Linked DNA regions of Xenopus tropicalis. The protein of the gene in region 2 purifies or fractionates together with the protein of the main gene of each other region. This does not show direct contact. Links are inferred from orthologs where the notes say so. Each region holds a gene or a part of one and is shown on either strand. Other genes may lie near its edges.

What was found.
Region 1: the proteins of wrap73 (region 2) and ssx2ip purify together in Homo sapiens (co-immunoprecipitation; 4 studies listed by BioGRID and IntAct, counting the BioPlex papers as one, with this or other methods). This does not show direct contact. The link is inferred for Xenopus tropicalis from reciprocal best matches to the Homo sapiens genes WRAP73 and SSX2IP.

What each region holds. Positions count from the first base shown.
Region 1 is NC_030680.2:77,501,105-77,504,762, reverse strand, and holds part of ssx2ip (afadin- and alpha-actinin-binding protein), read right to left. Parts: intron 3,581-3,658; coding exon 3,371-3,580; intron 1,338-3,370; coding exon 1,227-1,337; intron 1-1,226. UniProt on the Homo sapiens protein: Belongs to an adhesion system, which plays a role in the organization of homotypic, interneuronal and heterotypic cell-cell adherens junctions (AJs).
Region 2 is NC_030683.2:101,399,887-101,403,644, reverse strand, and holds the start of wrap73 (WD repeat-containing protein WRAP73), read right to left. Parts: upstream 2,884-3,758; 5' UTR 2,699-2,883; coding exon 2,630-2,698; intron 757-2,629; coding exon 604-756; intron 1-603.

The DNA.
Region 1 (3,658 bases), on a different chromosome or scaffold from region 2:
ATATGCATTGCTTCGGTTTTCCAAAGTCGGCTGAAGCTGCCTCACAAAGAAACTTCAGGCTACTTTGGCTATGTTTACCTACCACTGATTTACATTCTTCCCGGTAGTAAAGCATTCGAGGAGATTAGTCACCACCGCTAGAGCACAATATGCATGGAGTGCCTAATCTCCTTGTCTGTCATAGATGAAATAGTTTAAAACCTGTTTAAGATGGGGTTTTTTTCCACAGAAAGTTTTTGTTTTTATTGTATTTAATGAAATTATTATGAAGGACTAGTCATTTTATGTTACACGTAATAATCAGATTAAATGCTGGATGCCCTTAGAAACAGTTCTAGAAAGAAATACATATGCAGCTGGGAGGCATGCCACCACGAAAAATGTGCCTCCCTAGTCTCATATCAGGCCTTTGTGGTCTTCCCAAAAACCTGGACCCAGGTGAAAAAACAGATGGGTAAATTAATAAGACTGAACAAGAACTAAACCACAGTTTGTTTTTAACACTTGTTCTCTGTGGTTTATTATCAAACTTGTTATGTTGCCGTTTTAGAATTTTATACTTATAGGAGAACTAAACCCTAAAAATGGCTAGAAATGCTGTATTTTAAATACTGAACTTATTGCACCAGCCCATCTTTAACACACAAATATGTTTGCTATTAAGAAGCTTAGCGGGTTATTGCAAATCACAGAAGAAACGGGGTTCACTTCTCTTATAAGCTGATAGTACAGGGCTGATTTCTAAAATGCTTTTTTAAATGTGAATCTGAATTACCTTGCCACCTTGTGACATTTGTATTTTATATACACAGTATATCGTGAGTTGGTCCCTGAACTTAGCTAACTGACTGACAACAGCACAGATGAAAGAGAACCATGATAACTTGCTTGCAGACCATCTTCCCTCCCACATAAGCCCAACTGAACTAGTTTGTCAAAAGGGGAACATATTTTTCTAACTTTAGGGTATGCATAGGTTATCTGTATATTTTAAATGTTTGCAAATATGCTGTATATTCATGATTAATATTGCTCATGAAGACTGAAAGGGGTTAGGGTGGGCATACAGAATTGAAGAGATGAGAAAGTGGGAATAGTTTAACCATTTTTTTTTTATTATACCTCTAAGTTTGTTCTATTCTTCTACCTTGTATGTGTACACTGCAAGTGTTCTGTGCTTCCAGTTTCATAGCATAGCAAAACCATAAACCTATCGAGACAGCTACCTCCTCCTTTTCATTCTTAAGCAGCTGGAGAAGGTTACGATTTTTGCACTGCATCTGACGATCCCTCTCCTGGTGAGCACAGTTTTCTCGCCTTGTGGCTTCCAGCTGGTCCTGTTGAAAATTTAAAAAAAAAAAACAAAAAAAAAAACTATATTTAAAATGCTTATGTAATATTTAGACTATAGTTCCAACTAGTATTTTCTATTTACTTTCAACAAAAAAACTGAAATCTGTACTGTTTTAATATCTTTTGTTTGACATAACAGTTTTATGCTTTGCAGATGATGCTAGTTATTTGTGTACATTAAAATCAAAGTCTACTAAGCACTTATTCACCACAAAATGGATAAATACGAGGAGGTTTGGTCTCCATGGACCCTATGGACTGAAAGCCAGCATACCCAGAGACTATCCCACACCGCTTAATAAATGCACAAATGAATCAGAGGACAATTATGCCTATATTAGATAGACCCACAGACCATATTCAAGATACAGCTTATATCTGTTATAAAAACTAGGCAAGAGTGCACCCCCTCCTCTTCTCCCCAATCTACCCTCTAACACAGGATTTTTCAAACTCTTTCCATCTTCCCCCTTACATTGTTTGTATGTAAACAAAACGGTTATAAAAACAACCAATAAACATAACATTTCAAAATAAAAAAAAAAATACTACTAGCCTACAGTTGGCTTGGCTTCTTATCATTAAAACTGAAGGTGTTATAAAGGTAACATGACAAAAAAAAAAAAAAAAGAAAAAAACAAACAAGACTGCTTTAAAGGTTTTACAGGTTTTTGTGTCAGTCTCATCTGCTAGTATTTCCCCCTATTTCTGAATGTATGGTGACAAAAATGGTTTTACAAAAATGTTTTACCTTTTATATCATAGCTATAAAGATTTTCAAAGCTCAGCATTAGGACAAACTCAGCTCTTATTTTAGCATTATCATTTTTCCCCAGAAAAAGGTCCCTACCCTTTCTCTCTTTTTCCTACCCTATGAAACGATTAGTGGAACTGCAACTCTCCTCCAAACTGTAAAGTTCTACTGTATCCCCAATATCAGATATAAGATCTCATACCCAGTGTTTATTTGTACATCATCTACTGTGTAGAACAGTAAATAAAGCAACTATGGTGTGGCCCACCTGCTTCTAGCTGCAACTCCTTTAAATCTTAGATTGGGCAAATTGTGATTTAATTCACAGCTAGAGGGACATCTCCTGATCATCTGCGACAGCTGGAGAGCCCCCTAGTTCCACAAGTACAGCTTTGATAGAAGCAGTTATAGCTCTGTGACAGATGGAGGGCACACTGGTCACATGGAGGAACATACTTTCTTCACATTATCCAATAGCATACATCAGAATTGCCTGTACACTTAACTGGAAGTAGTTATTCGGAGATAGCAGGAAGCCCGCCGTCTGATACATACTATTAAATAATTACATATTCCTAAATGTGAGCAGTGGCCCCACAGTTGTTACAAAAAAAAAAAGTCTGTACTATTGCCTAGACATGACTGACCTGAATGAAAAGTGTGTGACAGTTTAATCAGGCCAGGCACAGAGAGTTCTGCCTGTCATTCACTGACATTACCAGGTTATGACAATAAGCCGGTGGCTCCTCTGACTCCGAGACGTTCCAGGAGAGGAAGTGAAGGAGAGGGGCAGTGCTTAAACTAAAAGGAAAACTAGATCTAAAAAGGTATGCTAAGCTATACTAGCATGAATATTAGGCCAAGTGTAAAACCAAGGTAATCGTCCCCTTTAACACATATTTATAAACATTCCACAGTGCCATACAATAAATGGGTATTAAAAAAAAAACAAAACACCCACAACTACAACCGATACAAAAGACAGAGGGCACTGCCAAAAAGTTTCCAATCTAATATCTACAATCTTACAAATATGTATCAGAAACCCTGTAGACTCTTGAATCTTAAAAAATAAAAGGCTACCAACATGGACAACTTTAGGAATCATTTAAGCACTGCAAGAAAGTTGCTTAAGAGGCCTCCCAGGGACCCTTCTCTGCTGCCCTGAGTTATTTCAAAGATATGAAGGGTTAACCCCCCTCACCATCTGTACCCTCCTTTCTTTTATCAGGGGCTGTCACATTTCTCTGGCAGCAATCTCACCTTCTGCCTCTGATGAATACTCTGTAGATGCTCCAGGTCACCATTTATTTTCAGAATCTGTGTTTCTACTTCTTCTTTGCCTCGCATATTTTGGGAATTTCTTTGAAGTAGCTCATGAATACAGTTGATGATAGACACCAAATGCAATTTTCTTCCTTCTCCATTCTTGGATACAACTTGCACTGTTGGAAAGCCTAAGGTTCTAAGCTCCTATTTAGAGAAAAACATGTGTTATCATTCATTTTTTTCTGGTGGTATTTCAACTGTTAACAGCTTAGGTGTCCACAG
Region 2 (3,758 bases):
TCCTTTAAGTGGCACAGAAAAATAACAATAACACGCCGTGACACAACTACTACAAACTGGACACTATGTACAAAATAGCAGTATTGTGCAATAGATTACACAATAACTGAAAGAAGTGGGGGGTACATGTACCCCCCATTACATAAAGAGAGTAAATGTAACCTGTCTGCACTTAATGACTACTTTATGCCCCTGATGGTAACAGTGCATACAGCTATTATACGCTTCTGTACTTACACCAATCCTACTAATATGAAGTGACCAACCACTACAAAAAGTCAAGTCTTCAAGGGCACAAATGCCTCAGGTGCAAAGCCAAAGAGAAAAATTAAAAAAGGCAATGTACAGGAAAGAAAATAAAGCATATCTAGCTGCTAAACAGTGTGTTTATTTGCACCCTATAATACGAGGTAACTGCACTACTTTACATTAACACCAACAGTACACAGGAACATTATATAGCACTGAATACAATAAATGCTCACTGATACATATCCATACAAATACTGGTCTTAAGCTATTTCCAGTGTTTTACCAGATTATTGTCAATAATAACAAAAGGTGATTAGTAATACTTTCCTTATTCTCAGTATAATCTCTTACCTGCACAAGTCCTCTTTTATACATAGCACAGAGGATGAACATGGAGTCTGACGACCATTCTATGTACTGGATCTGATCTAAACACGTGTATAGCTGAAGGATCTGCAGGGTGCTCACATCCCTTATTACAAGCCTGTATTGCACACAGGATGCCTGGTAAAAATAAGCAAGACATTCTGATTTTAGTTTAGGTTTATTTAAAATAAATAACACAAAACAAATGAATTTAATAATCCTACCACCACTACTACACTGATAGATCCATGGACTTATTGCTCTTTCACCCTACAATAGTCCTTCCATCAAAAAGAATCAGAGATATATCAATTAGACCAGACAGTGTGTTTTCCATAGACTTGTGTCTTTATTCCACCAAATGGTGCTTTATTATACATGTATTGGATCCCTTATCCAGAAACATAAAATCCTGAAAGCTCTGAATTTATGGGAAGGCCATTCCCTATAAATTCCTTTTTAATCAAATTATTCATATTTTAAAAAATTATTCCCTTCTCTGTAATAAAACAGTACCTTCTACAGGTATGGGATCCGTTATCTGGAAACCTGTTATCCAGAAAGCTCCAAATTACGGAAAGCCTGTCTTCCATAGACTCCATTTTAATCAAATAATTCAAATTTTTAAAAATGATTTCCTTTTTCTCTGTAATAATAAAACAGTACCTTGTACTTGATCCCAACTAAGATATAATTAATCCTTATTGGATGCAAAACAATCCTATTGGGTTTAATTCATGTTATATTGAATTTTTAGTAGACTTAAGGTATGCAGATCCAAATTACAGAAAATCCGGAATACCCTTGGTCCAGAGCATTCTGGATAACTGGCCCTGTACGTGATCCCACCTAATATATAATTAATCCTTACTTAAAGCAAAACAATTCTATTGGGTTTATTTAATGTTTATATTATTTTTAGCAAAGTATGGTGATCCAAATTGCAGAAGGACCTCTTATCTGGAAAAACCCAGGTCCTGAACATTCTGGATAAGAGGTCCCATACCTGTCTACTGCAGAATTACATCCCATAGATTCCATTATAAGCAAATAATAAGCAAATAATTCTAATTTTTAAGAATGGTTTCCTTTTTCTCTGTAGTAATAAAACTGTACCTTGTACTTGATCACAAACTAAGATATAATTAATCCTTATTGGGGGGCAAAACAATCCTATTGGGTTTATTCAATATTTAAATGAAAGCAGACTTAAGTTATGGAAATCCAAATTACAGAAAGATCCCTTATCCGGAAAACCCCAGGTCCCGAGCATTCTGGATAACAGGTCCCATACCTGTATATCTTTATAGCGACCAGTAGAACCCATCAATTTAGCAAGACCACGAAAAACTCCATTAGGTCCCCCTGCTTGGGGCGATTTCATGCATTTCAGTGCCTGAGTGCTTTACAGCTCAGCAGGTCACAAAATGCTCATCCATTCATTTCTATGGGAATTACCTGGACTCCTTGGGGGTCACTGATTGTGGCACGTAAGCAACTATTGCTTTGTTAGGCTACAATGTTATTATTGTATTATTAATTAAACGTGAATAACCCCTTTGAACATCTTACACCTGGAAATGCCCAGCCAGGGTGCACTTGTTTGGGCTACAGAATAACACAGAACTCCCTATGATGAACAGAAAAATGGGTTCTAGGATAAACAGACAAGGGTCATTTGTGTTGGAGAATATATTATTCTGGGGTGTCCAACCTGAAACCCTCCAGCTGTTGTTAAACTACTATTCTCACATCCCCATGCTGTTCATCACTAATGGCTATACTGCTAAATATCTTCTTCTCCCTTCCACAAAGGGACCCTATGATGGATGTATAATGCTGGTAGTCATGGTTACCAACCTATTAACACCTGGTCTGCAAGAGATGAACCTTTAGTTTTTCAGTCTGTGTCTGAACTACAACTCCCAGAATACCCTGTCCCAAGAGGGCATATGAGTTCTAATAAAAGCCGCAGATTAAATCTATGCACTCCCGCAATTGGCTCACTCACCAGATACTTCCCGTTGGGGGAGAACTTGCAGAGCTGATTTGAAAGCTTAAACACTTCGGAAAAATTCATGGTCTTGTCACAGTTTCACTTAATAAGCAGCAAGCTCCATAACAAGTGCCGGGAGATTGGGGGCGGAACACGCTCACGGCGGGTCGGAACTACGTCTAATACGAACTGACGACTACGGCGAAGGGATGGCAGTATCGCAGTAGCAGGGTGGAGCTTCACTGACTGACAGAACAAAGCAGCCTATAGGATGCATATATACGGGAGGCTACGATAAATAGGCGTGACCATGAGGCCTTTCTGAGAATAGGCAAAAGGCGTGCTTATAAAGAGGGGCGTGTGCGTAACTCTTCAGTGGGCGGGGTTAATAATAAATGCCGGAAGGAGGGCAGAGTTTGTTGGCGCTGGAACTGTAGCGCCGTGGGATTATGACAGCTGGTTGGCTCAACTGACACAGCGGGTGGGCGGAGTTATGGCCTGTCCGCGGGTGAAGCGGCGGGAAGAGTGGGAGTTCCACAGGCGGGAACTGGGCCCGCGTCTAAATACTGAAATCGCTGCTGCTAGATGATGGTTAATGTAGGGTTAAAGTGCGGCCTTCCGGCTGGACTTGAACATTATCTCCTGCAATACCCCCCATCTTCAATACAACTGAACATTGAAGCAGCCATGCTAGTATTATCTATTGCCAACAAAAAACACTCGGTAGCGGTTATATCTTTACTGTATATAGGCAGGAATTGTTGTGCATCTTTTGTAGGTTTTACTCCGTAAGGTGGTAGTTTGCCTTTAAATTAACTGTTAGCATGCCGAAGACTGTAACATTCCACGGCAGTTTCCGATTGAGCTTTATTTTTGTATTTTTTTTTGTCCTGAATTGTGTTGCTTTTTGTTTTTGCCTTTCCAGCTGGGAATTCCAGAAGTTATCTGGTTGCTAGGGTCCAATTTATCCTAGAAATCAGACGGTGACTTGTTTAAGAGACAAGAAGATGAATAGGAAAGGGTATGAATAGAAAGATAAGTAATAAAACCTAAGAAAATTGTAGCCTTACATTTCATTATATTCTAAAAGCTGTTAAGCGCTCACTTGGTCACAATACTCCTTGTAATTATACTGCCTGTCAGG